Macaca fascicularis: one gene and its partners. The protein of the gene in region 6 interacts with the protein of the main gene of each other region in a biochemical or structural test. Links are inferred from orthologs where the notes say so. Each region holds a gene or a part of one and is shown on either strand. Other genes may lie near its edges. The genes, in order: MAP4, SCN4A, SLC16A7, RPS6KA1, KCNA5, SNTA1 and SCN5A.

The links.
Region 1: the proteins of SNTA1 (region 6) and MAP4 interact in a test that uses a peptide from one of them, tested with the Homo sapiens proteins (2 studies listed by BioGRID and IntAct). The link is inferred for Macaca fascicularis from reciprocal best matches to the Homo sapiens genes SNTA1 and MAP4.
Region 2: the proteins of SNTA1 (region 6) and SCN4A interact in a test that uses a peptide from one of them, tested with the Homo sapiens proteins (2 studies listed by BioGRID and IntAct). The link is inferred for Macaca fascicularis from reciprocal best matches to the Homo sapiens genes SNTA1 and SCN4A.
Region 3: the proteins of SNTA1 (region 6) and SLC16A7 interact in a test that uses a peptide from one of them, tested with the Homo sapiens proteins (3 studies listed by BioGRID and IntAct, with this or other methods). The link is inferred for Macaca fascicularis from reciprocal best matches to the Homo sapiens genes SNTA1 and SLC16A7.
Region 4: the proteins of SNTA1 (region 6) and RPS6KA1 interact in a test that uses a peptide from one of them, tested with the Homo sapiens proteins (2 studies listed by BioGRID and IntAct, with this or other methods). The link is inferred for Macaca fascicularis from reciprocal best matches to the Homo sapiens genes SNTA1 and RPS6KA1.
Region 5: the proteins of SNTA1 (region 6) and KCNA5 interact in a test that uses a peptide from one of them, tested with the Homo sapiens proteins (2 studies listed by BioGRID and IntAct). The link is inferred for Macaca fascicularis from reciprocal best matches to the Homo sapiens genes SNTA1 and KCNA5.
Region 7: the proteins of SNTA1 (region 6) and SCN5A interact in a test that uses a peptide from one of them, tested with the Homo sapiens proteins (2 studies listed by BioGRID and IntAct). The link is inferred for Macaca fascicularis from reciprocal best matches to the Homo sapiens genes SNTA1 and SCN5A.

What each region holds. Positions count from the first base shown.
Region 1 is NC_088376.1:111,017,679-111,021,940, forward strand, and holds the start of MAP4 (microtubule-associated protein 4), read right to left. Parts: upstream 2,801-4,262; 5' UTR 2,684-2,800; intron 1-2,683. UniProt on the Homo sapiens protein: Non-neuronal microtubule-associated protein. Promotes microtubule assembly.
Region 2 is NC_088390.1:70,572,429-70,575,928, forward strand, and holds part of SCN4A (sodium channel protein type 4 subunit alpha), read right to left. Parts: intron 2,852-3,500; coding exon 2,519-2,851; intron 1,030-2,518; coding exon 966-1,029; intron 728-965; coding exon 586-727; intron 1-585. UniProt on the Homo sapiens protein: Pore-forming subunit of Nav1.4, a voltage-gated sodium (Nav) channel that directly mediates the depolarizing phase of action potentials in excitable membranes.
Region 3 is NC_088385.1:66,480,480-66,484,702, forward strand, and holds the start of SLC16A7 (monocarboxylate transporter 2), read left to right. Parts: upstream 1-1,423; 5' UTR 1,424-1,662; exon of another isoform or gene 1,663-1,973; intron 1,974-2,857; exon of another isoform or gene 2,858-3,017; intron 3,018-4,223. UniProt on the Homo sapiens protein: Proton-coupled monocarboxylate symporter. Catalyzes the rapid transport across the plasma membrane of monocarboxylates such as L-lactate, pyruvate and ketone bodies, acetoacetate, beta-hydroxybutyrate and acetate.
Region 4 is NC_088375.1:208,560,760-208,564,259, reverse strand, and holds part of RPS6KA1 (ribosomal protein S6 kinase alpha-1), read left to right. Parts: intron 1-1,596; coding exon 1,597-1,703; intron 1,704-2,419; coding exon 2,420-2,457; intron 2,458-2,800; coding exon 2,801-2,943; intron 2,944-3,358; coding exon 3,359-3,429; intron 3,430-3,500. UniProt on the Homo sapiens protein: Serine/threonine-protein kinase that acts downstream of ERK (MAPK1/ERK2 and MAPK3/ERK1) signaling and mediates mitogenic and stress-induced activation of the transcription factors CREB1, ETV1/ER81 and NR4A1/NUR77, regulates translation through RPS6 and EIF4B phosphorylation, and mediates cellular proliferation, survival, and differentiation by modulating mTOR signaling and repressing pro-apoptotic function of BAD and DAPK1.
Region 5 is NC_088385.1:5,921,109-5,925,361, forward strand, and holds KCNA5 (potassium voltage-gated channel subfamily A member 5), read left to right. Parts: upstream 1-1,453; 5' UTR 1,454-1,568; coding exon 1,569-3,386; 3' UTR 3,387-4,186; downstream 4,187-4,253. UniProt on the Homo sapiens protein: Voltage-gated potassium channel that mediates transmembrane potassium transport in excitable membranes. Forms tetrameric potassium-selective channels through which potassium ions pass in accordance with their electrochemical gradient.
Region 6 is NC_088384.1:89,451,582-89,455,686, reverse strand, and holds the start of SNTA1 (alpha-1-syntrophin), read left to right. Parts: upstream 1-1,305; 5' UTR 1,306-1,422; coding exon 1,423-1,732; exon of another isoform or gene 1,733-1,864; intron 1,865-4,105. UniProt on the Homo sapiens protein: Adapter protein that binds to and probably organizes the subcellular localization of a variety of membrane proteins. May link various receptors to the actin cytoskeleton and the extracellular matrix via the dystrophin glycoprotein complex.
Region 7 is NC_088376.1:100,616,734-100,620,233, reverse strand, and holds part of SCN5A (sodium channel protein type 5 subunit alpha), read left to right. Parts: intron 1-109; coding exon 110-251; intron 252-928; coding exon of another isoform or gene 929-932; coding exon 933-1,033; intron 1,034-2,109; coding exon 2,110-2,380; intron 2,381-3,500. UniProt on the Homo sapiens protein: Pore-forming subunit of Nav1.5, a voltage-gated sodium (Nav) channel that directly mediates the depolarizing phase of action potentials in excitable membranes.

The DNA of each region.
Region 1 (4,262 bases), on a different chromosome or scaffold from region 6:
GAGGTTGCAGTGAGCCGAGATAGCGCCACTGCACTCCAGCCTGGGCAACTGAGACCCCATCTCAAAAAAAAAAATATACATATATACACACACACACACACACACATATACACACAAACACACACACACAAATTAGCCAGGCGTGGTGGTGGGTACCTGTAATCCCAGCTATTCAGGAGGCTGAGGCAGAAGAATCGCTTGAAACTGGGAGGCAGAGGTTGCAGTGAGCCAAGATCATGCCACCGCACTCCAGCCTGGATAACACAGCGAGACTCCATCTCAGAAAATAAAATAGAATAAAATAAAAATAAATGGCCGGGCATGGTGGCTTGCACCTGTAACCCCAGCACTTTGGGAGGCCAAAGCAGGCGGATCACTTGAGGTCAGGAGTTTGAGACCAGTCTGGCCAACATGGCAAAACTCTGTCTCTACTAAAAATACAAAAATCAGCCGGGTGTGGTGGCACATGCCTGTAATTCCAGCTACTCATGAGGCTATGGCAGGAGAACTGCTTCAACTCAGGAGGTGGAGACTGCAGTGAGCCGAGATCCTGCCACTGTCCAGCCTGGGTAACAGAGCAAGACCCTGTCTCAAAAATAGGTAATTAAATAAATAAAATTTAAATTTAAAAAATACCCACTAAGAATATCTAGTGCCTTTCCAATTCTATAATCAAGTACCTTTTTATTACTGATTAGGCAGCCCAGAACAATGGAGGTGTCCTGGTCAGTGGATAATTAAATCCAATTGTGCACATGGCACTTAATGCTTCCAACATACATTAACCAGTATCTGGTTTATCAGTCTCTGGTGAGTTTGTTATTTTGCATGAATAAATTCCAAGCACTTGAATCATCCCAATGTAAACCAAAATTCTGAAGTTTCTGAACTACTATGTGGGGGTTGGAGAGACCTTGGTTTGGTTGGATACTACTTTTGCCACTTAACTATCTGTGTGACCCCTTATTCCCATCAGTCTCAATCTCCTCATCTGTTAATAAATACAGCTAGTGACTGGGAGATGGCAAGTGCTCAAAAAGTGACAGCTTTATTATTTTGAAGCTAAATTTGAAAGGATGTGTATAACTGAGGTGAATACATTTCATTTGAAAAGAACTAGTACAGATCAGCAAACTACGTCAATTTAAAAGACACAGTTTGAAGAGAGATGTCCCAATCTATGGAGTTGAGAAAAGTAAAGTTTAAAAGTTGCAAGTAAAGTACACACTGCACAGTACAGACGGGAGTCTCCTGCTTAGCAACTCTAATGTTGTCTACCAAACACCCAGCTTGTAATAGAGCATGACAACTGTTCACTCTAAATCCATGTGCTCAGCTTGGATTCAGGATTGATTTATAAAAATAGCTGCTGGTGGTGCTCTTTGAATCTCTTTGCGCTGATGACTGGGCAGTGTTACCCTACAGGCCTAGAGCAGCTGTATTCCCTCACCACACCCATTTCTCTGTCTACCCAGCCAAGCTGACGGCACCCTGCCCCCGCCCCCCATCTCTACAGCATACTATTCTCCCTCCTCCTGGGCTGAGTGAGCAAATTACAAGCACAAATATCCCCTGATGCAATGCCACAACCATCCCTGGGAAAGAGCAAAGGCAGTTGCCAAAAGCACAGCAGCAGGGAAATGGGCGGGAGACGCGCGCGCGCGCGCACACACACACACACACACACACACACAGAGCAAGAAACGCTGCAATACTATGCAGCCAGGGAGAGAGAATTGAGAGGCCCTGGGGAGCAATGCTGTAACAGGACCAGAGAAGGCAAAGGAGAAAAGGGGGTTTCCAGTAGAAAGCTGGGTAACACTAACCTTCCCGAGAAGCACGTATTTCATCCGAGTTTGGGTTCTAAAGCACAAACCTATAAGGTAATCAATCACTGCCTCCTCCGCAAAACAGCAAATGAATTTAATTTACTCGTTCCTGGAAGTAAGCAAAACTCTCACAACTCTTCCACAGGACAATTTCACCAAAGGGATCTCACACGGGCAGAGAACTTGTTCCATGTGATAAATCACAATCTCTGTTCTGGGTAATGTTTCCAACTGCCCCTCCTAGTCCCTGTACCCTCCCCACCCCCACCCTAATGCGACCCCTCCGCACTCCCACTGCCAGACACACGCTTTAGTCCCCACACAGTGCTGGGGCCTTTGCATGCGGGAAGAGCCCCGCCTAGGGCCCGGTTCTCCAGACCACCCTTCAGCCCCACCCATAACCCCTAACTGGACACACTAAGGCTGAATTCAGCCTCACATCAACTGACCCCCATAAAGCCTCAGAAAACGACCTCTGAGTTCTCCTACACCCCCGAACCCCACCCAAGGTCCCAGACTGTGGCCGACCCTCGCTCCGCGGCTCAGCCCCATCCAAAGCCCGAGGCAAGTCGCTCGGCCCCACCGCCCCGACCCTCAAAACTGGACCTCTCAGCCCCCCTCAATCCAAGAATCCCCCAGATCGCGCCTCAAAGACTCCGAAGGTCACGGCCGCCGGCCCCCCGCCTGGCCCCCTCCCTCGGACGCCCCCGCGTCTCGCAGGCCGGCGGCCACCGCCCTTCCACGCCTCGGGCGGGCCCCGTGGGGTACCGGGCTGCCGCGGGACAAGGCGCGGGCAGCCCCGGGACAGTGAGGAGGCCGCCCCTCCATGGGACCCCGCCTGCGGCTGCACCTACCCGCCGCCGCCGAGACGGAGCCGGAGCAGGGGGGAGCCAGGAGAGCGCCGGGAAGAGCCGTGGAGGAGCTGGGAGACGTCGGGAGGAGCCGGGAGCCAGCGAGCGAGCCGGAGGGGCGGGGCGCAGGGAGGCGGCCGCTTCCTCGTCGCCCTCTTGAGGGCGGGCGCAAGGGAGGGACGCCGCCACCGCCTACCCGGCAGGCGCCGCCGCTCCGGCCAATAAGGGTGGCGAGGGGGAGGGCGGAGGGCTACGGCGGACCAATGGGTGCTGGCCTTGCTGCCACGCTCTCTCTGCAGAGCTGCGCGAGCCGCGGGCCGTTGTAGGGAAGCTTCTTACCTGCGGCTTGCGAATGCCGAAGCTGACGGCAGGCCGATCGATTGCCTCCGCTGTTCTATGATGGCCGTCGCTGTCTCTCAGAGTCTGGGCCCCTGGAGCGGAGAGAGTGCGAGAGTGGGCGCGCACGCGGGCCAGGCCACCAGAGGGTGGGGCCTGTGGGCTCTGTGATGTAACCTGGGAGGGGCGCGGGGCGGAGCCTAGGTCGCGGGCCAGCTGAGCTCTGGAAGGAACTTTTAGTGAAGCGGTAGGACGCCACAGGTCCTCTGCAGGGCTCCGCTTCCTGGAGCCGCATGTGGCTAGTGAACTCTGAAACGTGGCTGGCCCAAGTTGAGATGTGCTGTAAGTGTGTGTACAGTACACACACACCAGATTTCCTAGACTTAGTACCAAAAAATATGTGTTTTTTTAAAATGGTTACAAGTGGGATAATTAATTATAACAAAATTGATGACAGTTGGGATATATTTGGTTAAATAAGAAATATTGAGGCCGGGCGCGGTGGCTCACGCTTGTAATCCCAGCACTCTGGGAGGCCGAGGCGGTGGGTCACTTGAGGTCAGGAGTTCGAGACCACTCTGACCAACATGGCGAAACCCTGCCTCTACTGAAAATACAAAAATTATCCAGGAATGATGGCAAGTGCCTGTAATCCCAGCTACTTGGGAGGCTGAAGCAGGAGAATTGCTTGAACCCGGGAGGCGGAGTCGCAGTGAGCTGAGATGGTGCCACTGCACTCCAGCCTGGGCAACACAGTGAGACCCTGTCTCAAATGAAAAAAAAAAAGTTTCCTTTTCTACTGCAATTAACATTACTTCATCCCAAAGCCCCAGATTTTGTGGAATCCTTAACTTACTGTCGTAAGAAAACACACAGGTGGGAGCTTTAAAGTTACTTTGATCATTCTTCCTGATTGCTGGAGTAGTCAGCATATTCCTGTACCAGACTTCAGGAATAGAATTGGCTTTGAGCTCCTTTGTAGTTAGATGGCTAGGAAAACTGAAAAGTGTTGGAATCCTCCATTCTTTCTGTAAACCAAAAAGTGAGACAGGTCTCAATCAATTTAGAAATTTATTTTGCCAAGGTTAAGGACTTTCCCGGAAGAAAAAAACAGAATCACAGAAACAGTCTGTGATCTCTGCCTTTCTCCAAAGATAAATTTGAGGGATTCAGTATTTAAAAGGGAAAAGTGGGCTGGAGGGAACAAGAGAAAAGGAGCAGGTAGAGGAATAGTCAATTGTGTAAT
Region 2 (3,500 bases), on a different chromosome or scaffold from region 6:
GAGTCTCACTCTGTCACCCAGGCTGGAGTGCAGTGGCATGGTCTCAGCTCACTGCCACCTCCACCTCCCGGGTTCAAGCAATTCTCCCTGCTCAGCCTCCTGAGGAGCTGGGACCATAGGTGCGTGCCACCATACTCAGCTCATTTTTGTATTTTTAGTAGAGACGGGGGTTTCACTATGTTGGCCAGGCTGGTCTCGAACTCCTGACCTCGTGATCCACCTCCGCCTCCCCAAATGCTGGGATTCAGGCGTGAGCCCCCGCGCCTGGCAGGCAGCACTGAATTTCTAAGCTGCCCTACTGATTCTTGTGAGGCCTAAGGGTTCCTGGGCTTGTGCCTGTGCTAGGCCCAGACCTCGTCTCTGAAAACCAAGGTGTGGAAAAAATTAAAGCCATGGCTTGGCTCGGAGCAGGTGTCCAGTTTCAGAGAGCGCAAGCTCCTATAAAGGCACTGTGGGAGTCCATGAGGAGATGGCCCAGTTGAGGGGTTGGCCATCCTGCGGTAGGCCCCATCAGGCACTGAAGAGGCTGCAGGGATGGGGGGGGAGTGGCTGTAGGGTTGGGAGGCAGGGTTGGGGCAGTTGTACCAGCTGGAAGAGGTTCTCCCAATAGTCCTGTGTCATGAGGCGGAAGAGAGCCAGGAAGGCCCAGCTGAAGGTGTCGTAGCTGGTGTAGCCATAGTTGGGGTTCCGCCCGGTCTTGATGCACTCATAACCCTCGGGGCAGTGCCTAGGGATAGGACAGGGGGCTAGGTTTAGGGTGGGAGGAGCACTCCAGCTGGGGACAGATGGGGGCCCCAAGGGAAAGAAAATCTGTCAGTTCTGCCTGTGTCCCCCAAACAGAAAAGTATTCCATCCATACCCATAGGTTTCCCTGCACTCCCATCCACCCCAGGTCCTTGTCTCAATCAGCTCCCACCTTCCAAGACCCCTGGGGCGCATTTTCTGCATCCCTTAGCATCACTCACCCAGCATCACTGCTGTTCCCACAGAGTAGGGCATCGCTGGAGCCCTCCAGGAAGTAGAAGTTCCCTTTGGGAGTCAGAGGCCACAGAGGAGGCAAGTCACCCACATGGACACAGTGTGAGCACCTGAGCCCATTGCACACCTGTGGACAGGTCTGCGTGTACCACATAAACCAAATGGATGTTCCCTGGCTGCCTCTTCCCCATCCTTTAAGGACAGCTCCAAGTTCCAAGGTCTCTGGGTAGGGACTTGGCAGGGAGCTCAGCTGCAAGCACTGTCAGCCCAGTGCCCAGTGTGGGCGAAAAGTCAGAACGCAGCAGCAGCACAGACAGGGAACGTGTACATGTGTGCATGGGGCTACTGTGTACCTTTGCAGGGCACCTGAGTGAAGGGTGTGTGGGGGCTGGAATCCAGGTGCCAGGGTGAGAAGGGGTATCTTTTCCTAATCTGCAAGAAGGCACTATGTAGACTAACAGTGGCTGTGTGAGAAAGTGTGTGTTTCTGGCATGTGTGCCTGTGAAGATGCATATGTGAATAGGATGTGGGTGTGTGGGTATGTGACGGTGACCCTGCCAGGGTGTGAGCATGTGGTGTGATGAAGGAGGACAGGGGGTGCACAGGTTAGGGAGTAGGAACTATAGACTTGCTTTGTATAGTGAGAGTTTCAGGATTTTTCTTTTTCTTTTCTTTCTTCTTTTTTTTTTTTGAGACCGAGTTTCACTCTTGTTGCCCAGGCTGGAGTGCAATGGCGTGATCTCGGTTCACTGCAACCTCCGTCTGCCAGGTTCCAAGCTATTCTCCTGCCTCAGCCTCCCGAGTAGCTGGGATTACAGGCACTATGCCCAGCTAATTTTTGTATTTTTGGTAGAGACGGAGTTTCACCACGTTGGTCAGGCTGATCTGGAACTCCTGACCTCAGGTGATCTGCCTGCCTCGCCCTCCCAAAGTGCTGGGATTACAGGCATGAACCACCATGCCTGGCACTTTAGGGTTTTTAAAACAGTTTGCCATTTGTTGTTGCACTAACCCTTTGAGGAAGGGATTGTTATCTTGATTTTATAGGTGAGGATTCAGAGGGCTAGGGAGATCAAGTGACTAGTCAGAGGTGACACAGGCTGCGAAGTGCTGGATTTAAGCTCAGGTCCTCGCCAGCCTATTTGTCTCGTTAAGAAGTGAAGGCAGGGTGGGGTGCGGTGGCTCACGTCTGTAATCCCAGCACTTTGGGAGGCTGAGGTGGGAGGATCACACGAGGTCAGGAGTTCGAGACCAGCCTAGCCAACATGATATAACCCTATCTTTACTAAAAATTAAAAAATTAGCTGGGCCTGGTGGCACATGCCTGTAATCCTAGCTACTTGGGAGGCCGAGGCAGGAGAATCGCTTGAAGCCAGGAGGTGGAGGTTGCAGCGAGCTGAGATGGCGCCATTGCACTCCAGCCTGGGTGACGGAGTGAGACTCTGTCTCAAAAAAAAAAAAAAGAAAGAAAATGTGGGAACAGAGGGTACCCTAGGGACTGGGACAGGATCCCCTTTGCCTGTCCACCTTCCATTCTTACCTTCATCATTGATGTAGGCGTCCCAGTCAAAGGTATCGTTGGTGGCCCAGCTTGCATGGCTGTTCCACGTGTCGTTGGCATACCATGAGTCATTGCCATACCACATCTCATTGCCATACCATGTGTCATTGCCGTACCACGTGTCATTACTGTACCACGTGGTGTTGGTGTCGTTGAACGGCGGGGGCCAGCGCACACACTTCTGCCTCAGGTTTCCCATGAAGAGCTGCAGTCCCACCAGCGCAAAGACGCTCAGGCAGAAGACAGTGAGGATCATCACATCTGACAGCTTTTTCACCGACTGGATCAGGGCCCCCACAATCGTCTTTAGCCCTGACCGCAGAGAGGGCAAGGATAATGGCAGGGGGCAGTGCAGGGTGATAACAGAGCCCCCCAGCCTCCACCACCAAGCTTTTTCCTACTCCATCTTCAAGGCTTGACTTACTGAGCACCACTACTTCCCTGAAGCCTTCTGAAATTAACCCCACCCTTCTCTGATCACATCCTCAATCTGGAGCCTTCAAATGGCCACAGATGCTCAGCCACTAGGAGAAGGAACTATAAAGACCTAATGGGCTGTTGCCTGACCTATAGAGCAAACAAAGGCATAGAGTGGAGCTTAATACATGTCACTAGGTTAACGCTCTCAAAGTGTGTTCAACAGAACACTAATCTCCCATGCTGCACCCTTAAAAAGCAGGGGGTTGATAATGTTTGGGAAAAGCTGCGCTCTAGATTCTGCTCTTGGAGAGTCATTATGTAGATGATCCTATCAAAGGTTCTGAAAAGTCCTGCAGAAATAAACAAAACCTTTATTTGTGTTTATTTATTTAGTTAGAGACAGAGTCTCGTTCTGTTACCCAGGCTGGAATGCAGTGGCACGATCTTGGCTCACTGCAATCTCTGCCTCCTGGGTTCAAGTGATTCTCCTGCCTCAGCCTCCCAAGTAGCTGGGATTACAGGTGTGTGCCACCACACCCAG
Region 3 (4,223 bases), on a different chromosome or scaffold from region 6:
AATAGCAAACACTCAAGAATATGACCTTGAAATGTGCCTTCATGTTGTTTCTTTGAAATGTTTAACTTTTTTGTAATTAAATGAAGTATTTAGAGTCACTGCTAGACATTCCATCATTATCAAAATGCCTATTATGTCTTACACAAACGTCTATTTAAGCATTTTTAGCTTAAAAATATAAAATCCTTTCTGTAATTTTCTGCCTTTTTTTTCAGTTTCAAATATCATTCTTTCAATAAAATTATCTTCCAATAATTTTGAAGTTATTAATCACCATTATTTATTCACCTTATATTATGCCTACCAGCCACTTCATGTATATTATTTCACTTAAATCTTATGAAATCAACCCAAGATTGATATTACTTTTATTTCATAGCTACAGAAATTGAAATTCAAATTTTGTCCATTACAACAGACTAGCTGCGGCAAAAGACAGTGTGAATTTACCCAAATGACTTAACTATCTTTTTATAAATTTGTAAAATGTGAAGAATCATAGAACACATCTTAAAAGGATTATTGTGAAATCAAGGAGGAGAAAGCTAGTTAAACTGGTAGACAAACTGCAATAGGACTTGTCAAGTCAAAACCTACAATTATTCTTTTGGATAGTTTCTTTTTCTCTAAAGTGGCAATTTAACTTAAAGTTATTAAAGAAACTCAATCTTTGGGGTAGGTTAAACGTTCTCTTCCAGCCCTTCCTCTTTCCAACTTTCCCAAGAAGCATATTTTAGACAGAGGAAGAGACCAAACCAATGACTGCACAATTACCATTATCTCTAGCACTATTCGTTGTCAAATAACTAAATGCTGGTTTGAAGAACTAAATAATTGGAGAAACCAAAAATGAAAGGAATTACTTATAAATGATTTGAAAAAAAAAAAAAAATCCTTATTTTTAATGTCTTTTGGTGCTGTTTTCCATACCCTTCCTCCTATGGTGTCAATTTTATTTTTTTCTGTAAAGTGATTTGGTTAGTGAGTCTAATCTCCAACAGTGCACTACCTCCTTCTCCCAAAAAGGCCTCAGTTGAAAAATGGCTCAACACTTTCACTGCAAGTTCACAGTGAGGATCTCCTATTCTCCCTGCATTCGGCCAGACTCTTCTCTTTTTGCATGCTTTCCTCTCCCATGCATGGGTTACACAACTCTCTGGAATATCTAGACAGAGCTACCCCACACCTGACTCCTAGGTCAGGCTACAGAGTACTTCGGATACAGCAAGTCACGACCCATCTGAAACGACAGATCTACCTGCCTTTTGGCTTTCTTCCTTGGTCAAAACTAAAATCCGAAGTGGAGTGCCCCGAGCGATAGAGAAATTGCCTATAGCTTTGACAGCCGCTTGGAGCATGCTCAGTCGGTCTCCAGGCACCGGGAGGCGGCTCCCCCCCACCACCCCCCGGGCCGGCCTCCACCGCAGTCTGTCCGGCCCCCACCCCCGGCGCGCGCTCCTCCGCACCCACACGGGCGTTCAGCAGCCGCGCCTCCCCTTCCCGCCGCCGCCTCCTTTTCCGCTGGCTGTGGCGGGCGAGGACACGTCAGGGGCCATAAATAAATAAATAATTCCATTCACCCGTTGACAGCAAGGCGAACCGGCTGCGGCTTGCGGGGAACAGAGAGCTGCAGCGCCCACCCTGCGCCAGAGACCAGATAAAGTAAGTACAGCTGGGGAGGGAGGGGGGCGGAGGAGGAGGACGAGGAGGCGGCGCAGGCGAAGAGGAGCGAAAGCCCGCGTCTGCGACCCGAGCTGCCCGCGGAGCCGCACGCGTGTGTGCAAATAATGGCCAGCCTGTGACAAACGTGCCAACGCAGAGTTGGCCAGCGAGCCCTTATATAGACAAAAAACCCCGAAGCGGCCGCGGGAGGAGAGCTCGCGTCAGCCAGTGAGCGCCGACAGCGGCCCGGGAGCTGCTGGGGGTGTGCGGGGTCCCGGGCAAGGAACGCCCCGCGTGCTTTCGGCCAGGAGGTACCCACGCTCTAGGCTTTTACACCTAGACTCAGCGTGGCGCGGTGCACCCCAGTCTCCCTGGCTCACGAGACTCGGAGGGCTGCTTGCGTGCGGCGTGTCTCTAGTGCGCGCCCTGCCAGCATCCGGCCCCCGAACCCCCTAGGGTAGCGTGGCTTCATTGCTGCACAAGGTGGAGGTGGGGGTGGTGAGGGTGTGTGTAGGGAACGTCTTCTCTTTGAGCAGATGATCAGGACAGGAAGAGGCTGCGAGGGGAAGACGAAATACCGGGGGATTGGGGCGTGGGGGTTGTCTTTCTTCATTTTTGGTCCCCAGGAAGGATGGCAGGGGTGGAAGCAGATGGAAAAGTGTATGCGGGCGAGGCCTGAGCCCAGGCAGAAAGGGAGCGCTGACTTGGCAAGGGTTCAGGAGGGCCTGTGCCTGCTGGGCTTCCTGAGCTACTGCACCACACTGGGGGCACTAGGCCCGGTCAGGTGGCGCCACAGGCTGCGAGCCCGCTCACGTGCGAGCCCGCTCACGTGCGAACTGTTTTCCCAACGGATGCTGCATGGCAGCTCCCTTCTCTACCCGCTTTTCTCCTCTACTTCCGCGAAAACGATTGCAGACTGCCTTGGAAAGGGCGGTCGTGCCCAATACCACTTTCCCGGTAGGGCTGAGGAGGGACTTTTGTAGTTCCAATTCCAGGGAAATTAAAATTTTACACACACTCACACTCACACACACGAGAGACATAGAAGAGGAAATGAGGAGTGGTTTCTCTATAATTGTTTTTTGATTGCCTTTCCCGGAGAAATAAGTAGGACTAGGCTGCGTTGCGTTAGGGCTGGTTAGTGGCATTAGGACAGCTGTTATTTCATGTCCTTCTTCCCTCTTGGGTCCCAAAGGAGACACAGCAGAAGAATAAAATAGCGGGCAGTGATGAAGGTGATGTGAAAAAGACTGGACCAGAGGAAGGAGTGACTACTGGATGCCATTTCCTGTCACCCCATGCTTCATGGCTAACCCCAGTCTGAACTCAGAGGGTTGCCAACTTTCCACAGACAGGTTAGCTTGAATGTGTTGTGTCACTGGAACCACAAGCACTAAGTATGCATTTGGTGGAGTGTGGCTGAAAAATGAGAGTTGGGTGGGGACTGGAGAGGGCAAATGAGGGTTGAGCAAAGTGACTAATATTTAGCCCCGGTGAAGCAATCCTAACTCCAGCTTCTACTTCTAACTGAGCACATTACATTTAAAGCAATCCAAGTGAGGGACTGAATGATCTCAGTGGAAAGGAAAGATTATAACCATAAGAAACTCAGTGTATTGTGTAACAACTTACAAAGTCAGAAACTATTTTTTGTAAATACATCAACAGTTTGCAGTTACATATTACATTTTTTCCCCCAAGGCATGTTTTAATATTAAGTGATCTGAAATTTTAACACCTGTTTCCCAAAGTTCAAATTAGTGTATCCTTCTATAAATGCTCAGTTTATTTCTAGACATTCATTTGCTCTTTGATAATGTCTGGCTTATATTTTTGGCTTTGAGCTCTTTTAAAGGGAAGGAGAGAAACATTACCTAAAGAAACCTCCCTTGTCTAGAGTCATATTCCTGGATCATGGATCTGAAATAAAAGGCATCTCCAGAATTTGATTTTAATTCTGTATTCATTCACCAAACATTTTTGAGACATTCACATGGAAAAAGGGAATTAACTTTAGAACAGATTGGTTCTGCACTTTTGTAAGGTTGAGTAGTTGTTTAACAATCAGGGCTTTACCTTTTTCTTATCTATAAAATGAGATTGGTGGTACCCACTTTGAAATGCTATTGGGAAGAATAAAGTGTGTGGTAAACACCTAGAATTTAGACAGGCTATATTTGAGCTCCTATAATCAGTCTAGACACCCTACCAGGGTTACCAAGATGAATGAGGCTGGAATTCTGTTCTCAAGAAGTTCTCATATAGGCAGTCATCCAGGTTAATCTTTTCTTGTATCCCATTTGCCTTTTAGTGCCCCCCTTTTTTTTTCTCCTCTTGATGGAAGAAACATATATCCCAAATAACTTGAAAGGAACTCCGCAGTTGTAAGAGATGTTGGTAAGATCTGCTAAAAGGCAAATTTGAGAAGAGTGTCTTTTCTCAGGAACCTGTATTCAGCCCGTTTTTTGTTCATTAATAGTGATCCTTAATGAATAAAAACAGGTAATGAAGGATTTTTCTTCATGTTAGGAGGGGAGGATGATCCTTCTCTGAAGACTATC
Region 4 (3,500 bases), on a different chromosome or scaffold from region 6:
AGAATCGCTTGAACCTGGGAGGCAGAGGTTACAGTGAACCAAGATCGTGCCACTGCACTCCAGCCTAGTGACAGAGCGAGACTCCGTCTCAAAAAATAAAAAAAAAAAAAGATTTGAGCTAGAAAATGGGGTCATTCATACAATTCAGACTTTAAAGAGAATCTAGCCTTTTTTGTTTTTTTTTAATTGTAATTTTTTTTTTTTTTTTTTTTTGAGATGGAGTTTTGCTCTTGTCACCCAAGCTGGAGTGCAATGGCAGGGTCTCAGCTCACTGCAACCTCCGCCTCCCGGATTCAAGCGATTCTCCCGCCTCAGCCTCCCGAGTAGCTGGGATGACAGGTGCATGCCACCATGCCTGGTTAATTTTTGTATTTTTTTTTTTTTTTTTGAGACGGAGTCTGGCTCTGTCACCCAGGCTGGAGTGCAGTGGCTGCGAACTCGGCTCACTGCAAGCTCCGCCTCTCGGGTTTACGCCATTCTCCTGTCTCAGCCTCCCGAGTAGCTGGGACTACAGGCGCCCGCCACCTCGCCCGGCTAGTTTTTTGTATTTTTTAGTAGAGACGGGGTTTCACCGTGTTAGCCAGGATGGTCTCGATCTCCTGACCTCGTGATCCGCCCGTCTCGGCCTCCCAAAGTGCTGGGATTACAGGCTTGAGCCACCGCGCCCGGCCAATTTTTGTATTTTTAGTGGAGATGGGGTTTCGCCATGTTGGCCAGGCTGGCCTTGAACTCCTGACCTCAGGTGATCTGCCTGCCTCAGCCTCCCAAAGTGCTGGCTGGGATTATAGGTGTGAGCCACGGCACCCGGCTTAAATTGTTATTTTCCCGAGTAGCTGGGATGACAGGTTCATGCCACCATGCCTGGTTAATTTTTGTATTTTTAGTAGAGATGGGGTTTCTCCATGTTGGCCAGGCTGGTCTCGAACTCCTGACCTCAGGTGATCCGCCTGCCTCAGCCTCCCAAAGTGCTGGCTGGGATTATAGGCATGAGCCACCGTGCTTGGCTTAAATTGTTATTTTAATGTTTGAATAGGAAATACATTTACATGATTCAAAAGAAAAATATTCACGAAGAAGTCTTACTCCCGCCCCAGCCCCCTCTATCCCCACCCATAAACGTTATTATTGCTTTCTTGTTTAACTTTCCCATGTTTCTTTTGCAAACAAATCTGATATATATTCATTCCTACCCCCACTTCCTTATGTAAAAAGTACTATTCTGTATCCACTGTTCTGTACCTTGCTTTTTTCAAGATAGTACATCTTGGAGCTCACTCCATCTCAGAACATGGAGAAACTCCATGTTCTAGTTTATAGCTGCAAAGCACTCCATTATGCAGGGGATACAACTGATTCCAGCCTTCTACTCTTGGACCCTAGGCCTGTTTCCAACCCCTTCTATTTCCGAACGATGCCACAATGAGTGGTTTGCGTATTAGTCATTTCATACTTTGTATGACAAGAAGGCTATATGGCCTGGCGTCTCCAAGGGTCCTCCCAGGGTGGCCCTTCAGGACCAGGAAGCTGCTGACTGCCCAGTGCCCCAGCTCTTAAGGAAGAGGAGGGCCTGCTGAAGACCCCTCCTGTGTTTTGCAGGTGATGTTCACGGAGGAGGATGTGAAGTTTTACCTGGCCGAGCTAGCTCTGGGCCTGGATCACCTGCACAGCCTGGGTATCATTTACAGAGACCTCAAGCCTGAGAAGTGAGTGAAGCCTCCAGCCCCACCCCTGCCTCCCCAGGGGAGGCCTCTTCTAGGACAGGGCCATCCTGAGGTGGGTGGGCATGGCTTTCTCCAGGAACGTCCTCCTGTCTTGGGCAATCTGAGGAATGGGTGAGTGGGGTGGGTGGTAGTGCCAGCTGCCCAGTCACTAATGCTACCGTTCCTAAGGGCCAGGTACCTTCCATGCAGGTAATGTTGCCCATCTTTTTTTTCTAATCTAGTGTGACATTGGAGAGGCTACCTTTAGAGGTCTTTCCTTGATACAGCCCTGTAGAATTTTCCCTAATATCTAACTACCCTCAAATGATAACTAAGGAGCCAGGGGCAGGTGGTGAGTTGGAATAAGATCTGGGTTTAGCGTTAGGTAGCCTTGTATTCAAATCCTGTCTCCACCTACTAGCTAGACCTACTAGCTTGATGACTGTAGAGCTACTTAACTGCCCTAAGCCTTAGTTTCCCCATTAGCAAAATGGGGCCCTAATAGTACCTGCCTCACACAGTTGCTTCAAGGATTAGCAAAAAAGATAGGCAACATCCCTGCATGGCACTGCTACCACCCTGCAACGCCCACCCTGTCATCAGAGATAACTGGGTGGAGCACCTCCTCTGGGCTGAGCCCAACTCCCACAGCCCTGTGGTGACACCACCACCCCCATGGCCACAGCTGAGGAGCCCTGACCCCTATTCCTCTATTACAGCATCCTTCTGGATGAGGAGGGCCACATCAAACTCACTGGTGAGTGGAGGCCGCCTGTCCCCTTGAGCCCCAGGGGAGGGCAGGGCAAGGTCCTAATAGGTCTCGCTGAGTGCTGGGGCCTCATTCTTCCTGAGAAGCTGTGCCTGTTACTTGGAAGTGTTCAAAAACTCAGGCCTCAGACTTGGAACACCCTCAGTTGGAATCCCAGCCCCTCATTGTGTAACATAGGGCAGGTCACCTGACCTCTCTGGGCCTTAACTTCCTCCTGAGTGTCATGGGGGTGATGGCTTCTGGCCTCTGGGCACGGGGGTTGGGTGTGCAAAGGGTGGCAGCAAGGAAGGCAGGGTTCCTGAGGTGTGTCCTCCTGCCCTCCTTGCTGTAGACTTTGGCCTGAGCAAGGAGGCCATTGACCACGAGAAGAAGGCCTACTCCTTCTGCGGGACAGTGGAGTACATGGCCCCCGAGGTCGTCAACCGCCAGGGCCACTCCCACAGTGCGGATTGGTGGTCCTATGGGGTGTTGATGGTGAGTGCCCAGACAGGGGTAAAGGATCCAGCCCAAGCCTCTGGCCTCAGTCTCCCCATCTGTACAGTGAGGGGGTTGATCATCTCTAGGGCTCTCCCCGTCTCCTCTCACAGCCAAGCTGGCCTCACTCTATCTTCAGCTGTGGTTTTCTTCCTTGGAAGGATCCCAGGCTTGACCCCACCTGGGACACACCTAACCCAGTGCTGGCCTTCTCCCCAGCCTCGCGCCCCCACTGCTGCGCCTGGTGGTCTGGGTTGGCAGAGGCAAGAGGGACGGATGTAATTCTTGCACCAGGAAGACTTGGATGTATCAGCAAGAATCCTGGGACTAGGGCAGAGGGGCCTGGATGGGAGGAGGCGGGAGGTGTGTGGGGGAGACAGGGATCAGAGCCTGAATAGACCCTTGTCCTCTGCAGTTTGAGATGCTGACGGGCTCCCTGCCCTTCCAGGGGAAGGACCGGAAGGAAACCATGACATTGATTCTGAAGTAAGCCCCAGGCCTGCCCTGATAACAATGGACTCCTCCAAGCCCCAGCCCCAGTTTGGGGGTCAGAATAT
Region 5 (4,253 bases), on a different chromosome or scaffold from region 6:
CACAGGGCAGGGGAAGATTCTCTAGTGTCCCAACCTAGAAAGATTAATATGTTATATCAGCCATCCTCCTGCCTCCTGCAGCAGGGAACTAAAGTTCTCAGGCCAGATGTTGGAGTGAGGGAGTGCTTGTATCAGGAAAAGGGATTATGCATTTCTATAGAGAAGTGAAATACAGGGGACAAGGGCCAAACTCTGATTGTCTGAGTTTGAGTTCCAGCATCATCACTTTCTACTGTGTGAGCCTGGGTGAGTCTGTCAATCTCTCTGTGCCTCAGTTTCTTCGTTTGTAAAATGGTGATGATAACAGTACTTACAAAACAGGTTGCTGTAGGAATACGCAGAGACAATATTTGTGAAGTGCTGAGAATGGGCTGGTGCATAATAACAGCGAAGTAAGTATTGGTTGTTATTATTCCACTCTTGGGATTTCTCCAGCCTTGGAGATTGGACAGCCTCCCTGGCTCCCTCTCATAAGCCACCTCCACCCTCTGCCTCCTTCATGGACCTAGATGCAGTTGTTAGCTCCAAGATTCACCAGACAGGATTAGCCTTCACTAGGATTGTAAAAATCTCTTCTCCCCTCCCCTGGTGTGGTTTTTGCAAATGGGATTCGTTGGAGAGGGTGCAGGGGTTCTGCTGGGTTGAGACCAGACAGCCCATCTACTGACTAGGCTGCTTGCCTGGGCTGCCACTGGGTCCATACTGGAAACAGGCTAGGGCATGCGAATCCTGCAAGGTTCCAACCCTCTAGTACATTTTTGTGGAGCTGCAGGAAGACGAGAAGAGAGATGCTTCTCCATTGATATATGTATTTCAAGGTCCGAAACTACGTGGGCCCCCTCCCTTCTGTAATTCTTCCCAAAGAAATACCGTTATTTCTCCAAAATAAAAAGGACTGGTGTCTCCTGTCTCTGTCTCTCATACTCCGACTCAGCTCAAAGCCTCTTCCCTTTAGCCCAAGGCACTTCGTTCCCCCTGGAGTCCACTCGGCTTCCAGCGGGTTCCCAGGTGAACCGAAATCCAGAGCTATTCTCATCTGGTTGCCCTGGGAATTTCAGCGCTCTCGGTACAACCTGTTCCTCCATCCTCCCCACTCCTTCCCTCCCTCCGCTGGGCTGCACCCCTCTCAGCCCCTCCTTTCCCTTGCTAGGGGCACCAGCTGCGCCCTTCGGGGAGACACTGGCTGCCACAAGACCCGGGAGGGGAAGCGGGAGGAGGGGGAGGGGAAGCAGGAGGAGGGGGAAGGGAGAGGGGAAGGCGGGGGAGGCGCCGAGGGTGGAGGCCAAGCGCAGCGCAGCCAGAGAGGGACGGCTGAAGGTTGCATCTGCTGGAAGGAGGCTTTTCGGCTGCTTGGTAACGGGCTGCCAGAAGAGAGAGAGGCAGAGAGCAGGGCAGCGGCTTCTTGACGTCAGGGCCAAGCGAGGGGATCGCGCCAGCAACCCCAGCTCGCCCCAGAGAGGGGCCGGCCGACCGCGGGAGCGGAGCCTGACGGGAGGTGCCCGGGGAGCGTGAGTAGGGGGCGCGGCAGCAGGTCAGCTGGGGCGCAGCATGCCCGCTGCTCCCGCGCCATGGAGATCGCCCTGGTGCCCCTGGAGAACGGCGGTGCCATGACCGTCAGAGGAGGCGATGAGGCCCGGGCAGGCTGCGGCCAGGCCACAGGGGGAGAGCTCCAGTGTCCCCCGACGGCTGGGCTCAGCGATGGGCCCAAGGAGCCGGCGCCAAAGGGGCGCGGCGCGCAGAGAGACGCGGACCCGGGAGTGCGGCCCTTGCCTCCGCTGCCCAAGGAGCTGCCACAGCCTCGACGGCCGCCTCCCGAGGACGAGGAGGAAGAAGGCGACCCCGGCCTGGGCACGGTGGAGGACCAGGCTCTGGGCACGGCGTCCCTGCACCACCAGCGCGTCCACATCAACATCTCCGGGCTGCGCTTCGAGACGCAGCTGGGCACCCTGGCGCAGTTCCCCAACACCCTCCTGGGCGACCCCGCCAAGCGCCTGCGCTACTTCGACCCCCTGAGGAACGAGTACTTCTTCGACCGCAACCGGCCCAGCTTCGACGGTATCCTCTACTACTACCAGTCGGGGGGCCGCCTGCGGAGGCCGGTCAACGTCTCCCTGGACGTGTTCGCGGACGAGATCCGCTTCTACCAGCTGGGGGACGAGGCCATGGAGCGCTTCCGCGAGGATGAGGGTTTCATTAAAGAAGAGGAGAAGCCCCTGCCCCGCAACGAGTTTCAGCGCCAGGTGTGGCTTATCTTCGAGTATCCGGAGAGCTCTGGGTCCGCGCGGGCCATCGCCATCGTCTCGGTCTTGGTCATCCTCATCTCCATCATCACCTTCTGCTTGGAGACCCTGCCCGAGTTCAGGGATGAACGCGAGCTGCTCCGCCACCCCCCAGCGCCCCACCAGCCTCCCGCGCCCGCCCCTGGGACCAACGGCAGCGGGGTCATGGCCCCGCCCTCTGGCCCTACGGTGGCACCGCTCCTGCCCAGGACCCTGGCCGACCCCTTCTTCATCGTGGAGACCACGTGCGTCATCTGGTTCACCTTCGAGCTGCTCGTGCGCTTCTTCGCCTGCCCCAGCAAGGCAGGGTTCTCCCGGAACATCATGAACATCATCGATGTGGTGGCCATCTTCCCTTACTTCATCACCCTGGGCACCGAGCTGGCAGAGCAACAGCCAGGGGGCGGAGGAGGCAGCCAGAATGGGCAGCAGGCCATGTCCCTGGCCATCCTCAGAGTCATCCGCCTGGTCCGGGTGTTCCGCATCTTCAAGCTCTCCCGCCACTCCAAGGGGCTGCAGATCCTGGGCAAGACCTTGCAGGCCTCCATGAGGGAGCTGGGGTTGCTCATCTTCTTCCTGTTCATCGGGGTCATCCTCTTCTCCAGTGCCGTCTACTTCGCAGAGGCTGACAACCAGGGGACCCATTTCTCTAGCATCCCTGATGCCTTCTGGTGGGCAGTGGTCACCATGACCACTGTGGGCTACGGGGACATGAGGCCCATCACCGTGGGGGGCAAGATCGTGGGCTCGCTGTGTGCCATCGCCGGGGTCCTCACCATTGCCCTGCCTGTGCCCGTCATTGTCTCCAACTTCAACTACTTCTACCACCGGGAGACGGACCACGAGGAGCCGGCAGTCCTTAAGGAAGAGCAGGGCCCTCAGAGCCAGGGGCCGGGGCTGGACAGAGGAGTCCAGCGGAAGGTCCAGGAGTCCAGCGGGAGCAGGGGATCCTTCTGCAAGGCCGGGGGGACCCTGGAGAATGCAGACAGTGCCCGAAGGAGCAGCTGCCCCCTAGAGAAGTGTAACGTCAAGGCCAAGAGCAACGTGGACTTGCGGAGGTCCCTTTATGCCCTCTGCCTGGACACCAGCCGGGAAACAGATTTGTAAAAGGAGATTCAGGCAGACTGGTGGCAGTGGGGTAGGGAATGGAAGGCTTGCTGAACATGGATATTTACATTATACCGCAGAGTATTTGAAGTCACACTGTAACCTCAGTCTACCCCTCTCCTTTCACTCCTTTCCTCCCTCCCTCAATCCCCCCATTTTCTCTCTTCTTTCCATGACACCCAAGGGTCACCTATTTTTAAAAAGTACCACATTCCATGACGCAGGAGCTGTTGAAATGGTAAGCGCTGTGAGATGGATGTATTTGTAGCCAGTCTCCTATACCCCGCAGAGGGATAACCCAAACAAAAATGACTCTAAATAGCCCAGATCCCAAGAGATTACGTAACTCCTCCATCCATGTGTTCCAAATTTGCTTTACATATGATTACATTTGTGTATAGGGGAAAATATTATTTTTATGCCTGGTAAGTGGCTTTTTGTACTGTAGTTTAGATAGAGATATTTTGGATATATTTTCAAGATACATGTTGTATTTATGGAAGAAAGAGTTGCCCTGATGTTTTTCTGTGATACTTATATTAGAGCCAGAGATCTTGGTATGGGCTGTTCTGGTTCCTGTGTCTCCAAGCCTCTGTCTTTTCCGGGATGTGGTATTGGTGCTTTGTGTCTAGGGCAGAGAATGTTCTTGAAGAAAGGCAAATCTGACTTTTTCTGTGCGCCTTAAACAATTCTTGTAACTTTCTTCAAAAAGCATTTGAATGATATTGGAGGAATACTTCTGATAATTTATTCTCTTTATTTTTAATCCCAGGAAATAAAAGGTTACCTTGTTGAGGCAAGTGTTAGTTTTTCTGCAGCTGATATGTTTTCTGACATTTTAAAAAATAGTCTGTCACTGTCTGTTTC
Region 6 (4,105 bases):
CTCAGTTGTGATTACAGGTGTGAGCCACTGTGCCCAGCTGGGGGTGCTCTTAGCTACTCCAGGAGGCTAATGTAAAGATGAGATAACACATGGAAAATACTCTGCTAGCCCTAGCTAAGAGTAAACAGTCACTAAACGAAAGTGATTATAGCATAGAGTCACAGTTTACCACGTGTTTTCACATTGATTTAATCCTCACACCAGCCCAGTGAAGTAGGTATTATTATGATCCACATTTTACAGATGAGGAAATTGAGGCCTAGAGCAGTAACGTGAGGGGACCAAGGTCGACTTGGAGCTAACACAGGCAGCAAGGATTAGAAACCAGGTCTCCAGAGGCCCAGACCCAGAGCCCCACCTTGCAGCCTTCCCCCACACTAGGAGTTCTGGGTTTTTCTGCCAGGCCTCAAAGTGTGGGACTTCAGGCTTTTCTATACTTGACTGCGAACACAGCCAGGGATTAATCTCTTAAACTTCCCTCCAGTTTTGAAGTGGGGATCCTGCCCACCCCCTCCCCAAGCCCTAAGTGGAGTCGGCAGCTCTCTCCTCCGGGGGCGGGGCCTGTCCCCTTTAGAAGCCACGCCAACGATAAGCCACGCCCACAGACCAAAGCCTCGACCACCTGATGGGAAACCAGCTTCTTCCTCAGCTCCCCAACTAGTAACTCTGCCTGCAAGGTCTCTCGCGGCTCAGCGTCCACCTTTCTGTTTTTTTGACACAGGGTTTCGCTCTGTCACCCAGGCTGGAGTGCAGTGGCGCGATCGCGGCTTACTGCAGCCTCGAGCCCCTGGGCTGTCATCTAGGCCTCCCAAGGTGTTGGGATTACAGGCGTGAGCAACCACGCCTGGCCGGTGTCTACCTCTTAAACTCAAGCCCTGGAGCCCAGACCACCATACGCAGCCCAGTCCTCCGCCATATGCAGCCCAGCCCGTTGCCCAGTGCTTCGCACCAGGATACGTGGTTCTGTTTTTTTTTCATGCGCTCCCACGTCCGGGAGCTACAGTCCCGGCCCTCGATGGACATGCCGAGCGCAGAGCCCACTGCGCGGGCTGATTGGGTTCCGCCCACGACGCGAAGCCCCGCCCCCCGACGCCCAGCCCAGCACCGCGCCTCCCGGGCTTTTCGCCTTGCCTAGTGGTCCCGCCACGCCGCCCTTCTGACTCGCCCCCTAGGTAGTCTCACACTGCGGCCCTCGGCTCCCGGGCCCCGCCCCGGCCTCCCGCATTTGCCCGAGGCCCAGTCCCCAGCACTGGTCACACCCCCGGGTAGCCCCGCCCCTAGATCGCCTCCCCCAGCGGCCCGGGTAGGGTGGCGGCTGGCCCAGCGGGGCCCCCGCTGCCCTCTGCCCTGGGAGCTTGGTCGGAGCGGGCTGGGCACGGCGGGACAGGGCAAGCGCGGCGTCCCGGGGTCTCGGAGGCGAAGATGGCGTCCGGCAGGCGCGCCCCGCGCACCGGGCTGCTGGAGCTGCGCGCCGGGGCGGGCTCGGGGACCGGCGGCGAGCGGTGGCAGCGGGTGCTGCTGAGTCTGGCGGAGGACGTGCTGACCGTGAGCCCCGCCGACGGCGACCCTGGTCCCGAGTCCGGCGCTCCGCGGGAGCCGGAGCCCGCGCAGCTCAACGGCGCCGCAGAGCCGGGCGCGAGGGCCCCGCAGCTGCCAGAGGCGCTACTGCTCCAGCGGCGCCGCGTGACGGTGCGCAAGGCCGACGCCGGTGGGCTGGGCATCAGCATCAAAGGTGGGCGCGGGACACCGAGGGCGCGGGGTCGTGGTGTCTGGGGGCCGCCGAGGGAGCAAGGGACTGGCAGCGCGCCCAGGACATGGAGCTGGAGGCCTCCTGTCCGGGGGTAAGGGAGGTCTGAGGAAACAGGTAACGGAGGGCACTGGGCGCACCAAGGTCGGAGTGGGTTTCGGTAGTTGGTGGCCTTAGGGGGCACGGAAGACACAGGTGTGGAGGAGATTGTGGGAGCACCAAGGACACGTGGGTGGGAGTTCTGTGTGGAGGCGTGGGGATCTGAGAGGCAACCAGCATGAACATCAAGGACAAGAGGGGTCCCCCGGAAAGCAGAGGGTGGAGAAAGGGGGTTGAGGCCGGGATACTAGTGGGACAGGGAAGAGGGAGTCCCTGAGAAGCAACCAAGGTGGGTACAGAGGGGAGGCCTGCAGTCTGCGAAGCACAGGGGTGGATAGGAGGCCTGGGTGCAGGCACAGACTGGGGTCACAGGCAGAAGGCCAGCAAGGACCTAGGAATCTAAGGACCCAGGAAGGCTGCGGGGAGCCCTGACAGCTGGATTTGGGTCTCCTGATCTGACCATCTCCACCTTGCACAGGATGGAGCTTTCAGTCCCCAGGACTGACTGCTAGTGGGGTGCAGTTAGGGTGCAACCAGACTGTGTTTGAATCGAGGATCAGCTGTGTGAGGTTGCAAAAGTCCCGTCCCGTCTCTGAATCTCAGTTGCCTCAATTGTATAAGAGGATGATAGAGTTGTGATGTTTCTGAGAGCAGGGCTCACCACACCAGCACATTGTAGGTGCCTTAGTTAATTACTGCTGTTAGCGGAGAGGAAAAATGGAGGCCAGGAGATACTCCCAAAGCAGCTAAACATAGTTCTCAAAATCCTTGCACACCCCCAGCTGCTGGGTTCACTATGCTTGCCCATCGGCTTCTCAGGATCCCAGCCCCTAGCAGGGTGCTTTGGGAAAGGGTGTCAGCCTTTGTTTCCACCTTGAATATGTACCGTACCCTCTGGGGTCTCCCTGGTACTGGTTCTGTTGATGAGTGCCTCCAGACTGTTTGGCTTGGCTGAGGTGGTGTAGATAGTGGTGAATGCCACCACTGTGTGCCAGGTGCTGTGCCCAGGACACTAGTCTCATGATCCACTTCATCCTGGCAACAAGTGGTGAAAGGTAGGGAGTATAATCCCCATATTGCAGATGAAGAAACTGAGACTCAGAAAGGTAAAATGATTTTCCCACCATTACACAGTGAGTGTCAGCGCTGGGATTTGAACCTTAGTTATCAGCTACTGTCCCCCAGAGAGTGCTCAGGGAAGTTGATTCTTTTCCTGTAGAAGGGCAGATCCCGAGGCACCCAACCAAGAGAGGCTAAAAAGGGGAAATGGGAAAATGAGGGTATGGGCACCAGTCTTACCCTCAATCTCCAGCATGGGATAGGGCAACAGACCAATCCAAAAATTATACACTCAGTGTGTCAGAGCAGGAAGGAACTTATTCATACAGAGTTCCATTCTGCAGATGGACGCACTGAGACTCAGGAGCAGGGACTTTCCAGGGTCACACAAAGTTACTCCCCAGCTCCATACTTCTAGGTGGAGGGGAAGGTACTTTTAGTAGACTTCAGGTATTTCCACTGGATCCAAATCTGGGCTCCTGTTGCCATGGTAACCCCTCCTATAGAGTCTAGCTTAGTCTGAGGCAGCCATGAGTGATCATAGCTTCAAACTGAACTGAAGCCCCTAGTTTCAGGTGGGGGAGGGCAGATATAAATAGAAACCCCTTCCTCTCCTAGACTTCAAGCTCTGTGCAGATAAGCAAACGGTGGGGCCTGCGTGGGTGTCAAGAGAGGTGTTCCAGTCCCAGCTCCGCCAGCAGCTTGTGTGACCTTGGAACAATGACCTCCCACTCTGGGACACTAATTCTTCATCTTCAGTATTCTGGGGATGAGCCAGGAGTGTGATATCTGAGGGCCTGACTTGCCGTCTGTGGTAGGGTTAATAGTGTTGGTTCTTGAGCCTGGAGGCCTAGGTGCAAATACTGGCTTGCTTTGCTACTTACTAGTTGAGTGACCTTGGACAAGGGGCTTCCCTCCACACTTCAGTGTCTGTAATAGGAAACTGAGCATGCCTACGTGATGGGATATTGTAAAGACGCAATGTTGGCATTTGGTACATGCAACTAAGGTGACCTATTATTACTATTTCTTATTTTAAAAGGGCATTTAAGAGTTTGGTAATAAAGCCGTTTAGTAAAATGTATTAGCTTCTTTTGTATCCAAGATGCCATTCAGGTAGGTTTTTAGAATCGCTAGACTCTAAGGCTTTGGTTTCCAACCTGGATTTTGGATTGTAAAACATTATGATTGCTAAAGCAG
Region 7 (3,500 bases), on a different chromosome or scaffold from region 6:
ACAGAATGGATGCCCCTAGCCAGCCCTCTGCCTCCACCCCCCACCCCTCCCCATGTGACCCCCGAGACCCCAGCCTGTCTGATCTCCCTGTGTGATTTCTCCCTCACAGTATGAAGAGCAGCCCCAGTGGGAATACAACCTCTACATGTACATCTATTTTGTCATTTTCATCATCTTCGGGTCTTTCTTCACCCTGAACCTCTTTATCGGTGTCATCATTGACAACTTCAACCAACAGAAGAAAAAGATATGTAGAGCACCAGCTCCCCGCTGGGCTGGGCAGAGCAGGGCTGGGTGCCAGGGGATTGAGGGGCCATTCGGGCTCCGGGCCCCATCTCACCTTCCCTGCTGGGGATGGTTCTCTTCTTGCTGCTGCTGGAATGAGGTGGGGAGAAGGGTGTGTCCAGGGATGTAACATGTCTAGGCCTGTAAGAACATAAGAAGGGGCTTTGGTGGGAGGCCCCATGTCTGCCCTAATCCACCTGAGAGATGAGACTCCTGGGAGAAGCTGGTGTGAGAGCTGCATCTGTTCACCTGGTCCATGATCAGAGGTCATGGGTAAAGCCTGTGCAGAGGCCCTGGGTCTTCCCAGAGCTTCATCAGAGCGGCTATAACTGGGTTGTAGACAAACTAAGTGAACAGAGAGAACATGAAGGCTGGTTGAGCTAGGAGGGGGAAAGGGCGGGGGGTGGATACTGGATTTGCAGGTCATAAAGCCAGAGAGATCTCAAGGTGAAAGGGGACAGGGCTCCTGGATAAATAGATTTGGGGAAGAATCTGTGGTGCAAAATAGGGACATATTTTGTCCAGGAGAGGAAGCCAGGAGGTGGTTGACCCTGGCATCCTCATCAAGGAGGCAAGATCCTGGTGCCCTCCATGCTGGGGCCTCTGAGAACCCCAGAATGAGGTTGGTGCCTTCTCTCTGCACTTAGGGGGCCAGGACATCTTCATGACAGAGGAGCAGAAGAAGTACTACAATGCCATGAAGAAGCTGGGCTCCAAGAAGCCCCAGAAGCCCATCCCACGGCCCTTGGTGAGCTAAGCTCCTGGTTCTGTGGGAGTGGGGAGGATCTTCTGGGGTCCCTGGGAAGCTTTCATGCCACACGGCCAGCCATCAGGGCCACCTCACAGTCTTTCAGCCCAGCCTGAGGGACGCTATCAGATGTCTGAGCATGAAGAGAGGTCCCAGCCTCATACAGATAGGGAGGAAGGTATGAGAAGGATGTAGCATCCCGGGACACTCTCCTCCCACAGGAACCCTCTGTCTCTGAGCAGGTCTCCTCCTTCCCCTCAAGGATGCAGGCTTTCCTCGGGAAAAGCAGGGCAGCCTTCACAGCCCCACCCCACCCCACTCAGAGCCTCATCCTTGGACCCCCAGAACAGTCAGGGAGCCGGATTCCTGAGTTAGCTGGTGGGGAGAGCCAAGAGCTCTGGAGAGTGGGGTCCTCTCAAAGACTGACTCCCTTGGCCCAATCAAGCCATTATCCAAAAAAATGTGTGTGTGTGTGTGTGTGTGTGTGTGTGTGTGTGTGTGTGTGTGTGTGTTTGTTTATAATATTTTCTAAGTGGGAGAACAGAAAAAAAAATGTGTATATATATATATATAAAAAATCTTATTTATTTCCCCAAATAATCTGGGCTGATTTACAATTAAAGACACATGTAAATATGGTTAGTACAATAAATAAATTACATTAAAAAGTAGAGAAAATATATTAATCTAAGCACTGACATAATTACTAGGGTTGAAGTTGAAATTTACCCTTGAGCCTTCAGACTGTGGCAACTGAAAGGGAAGCACAGTGAACAGTATGCTAAGGATGCTCAGGGCAGGAAAAATCTCCCCCTGAAGATCCATCATGGAAGTCCTCATGGAAGATGGAGCCTTGGAGCTGGGCCTTGAAGCCCAGGAAGCATTTCAGCAGGAGAGCCAATGGCTTTAACCTCCAGGAGTTTTTCCTCTGCACTCTCTGTGGCAGTGTGGCAGGGGTTTTGGGCTCACTAGAGGGAGAGTGGGAGGGTGGGTGGCCTGGGATGAGAGGCAGAAACGGGCATTTGCCAGCCTCCCAAGGGCCCTGCTGAGCGCTTTCCATTTGCCTCTCCTTTCAGAACAAGTACCAGGGCTTCATATTCGACATTGTGACCAAGCAGGCCTTTGATGTCACCATCATGTTTCTGATCTGCTTGAATATGGTGACCATGATGGTGGAGACAGATGACCAAAGTCCTGAGAAAATCAACATCTTGGCCAAGATCAACCTGCTCTTTGTGGCCATCTTCACAGGCGAGTGTATTGTCAAGCTGGCTGCCCTGCGCCACTATTACTTCACCAACAGCTGGAATATCTTCGACTTCGTGGTTGTCATCCTCTCCATCGTGGGTGGGTATACAAGTCAGCTGGACAGAAGCCCTCCCCAGCCAGGCCTCTCGTCCGGCCCCTGAGTCTCTGCTGAATGCCACGTACAACCCTAGGTTCTTTCATTCTTTTTTCAGTGCATTTCTCACCCCCCTCCCCTCATACATACATGCACACACACACCTCTCCAGAGAGAACTTATCTGGAAGGGTCCACTTGGGTCAAGGAGACCAACCTGGCAGAGGACCCAGCACTCCCTCCTGGCCCCACCCTCCAGAGGACCTGGGAACACAGTTCTCTAACTGCTTAGATAGCTTCAAGGATGAGTCTGGGAATGGGAGTGGGTGCTGTGGAGGCTAGTTCTGCCCGCACTTAGGTTGAAGGAGAAGGAAGCTCACTAAGGATGAGGTGGGTCCCCAAGGATGGGGAGTAGGTGGCCCTCCAGAGTAGAAGTTATCCCTGAAGATGGAAAATTCTGGAGCTAACCGCCAAGGTGTATGCCAGACTCTTTCAGACATACCTGCCTCATGCAATTCACCCAGTCAATTCAGCACTAAAGGAGGGAGATTGTACAGCTAGGGAGAAGCAGAGACCCAATCCTGACCCATGTCTGTTTGACCTCAGAGCTCAGATCTTTTTTTTTATATGACAGCTTTCCTGAGACATAATTCACATGCCATAAAATTCATGGTTAACTTTAAAGTCACTTTAAAGTATACATTTCAGTGTTTTTTAGTATATGCACAGAGCTTTGCAACCATCACCACTATCTAATTTTAGAATATTTTCCTTTCCCCAAAGGAAACTCTACCCATTTAATAGTCACTCCCCATTCATTTCCCCTCTCCCTCAGCCCCTGAAAGCCTCTTATCTAAAATTTTGAGGGACCACCAAACTGTTTTTCAATTTGGCTGCACCTTTTTACATTCTTACTGTCAATGTATGAGGATTCCGATTATTTCGCCCTCACCAACACTTGTTATTGCCTGCATTCTTTTTATGGGAGCCCTCCTAGTGGGTGTGAAGTGATATCTCCTTGAGGTTTTGATTTGCAAAACCAAATGACTGATGACTAACGATGCAGGACATCTTTCCATGTGTGTGTTGGTCATTTATATATCTTCCTTGGAGAAATCTCTATTCA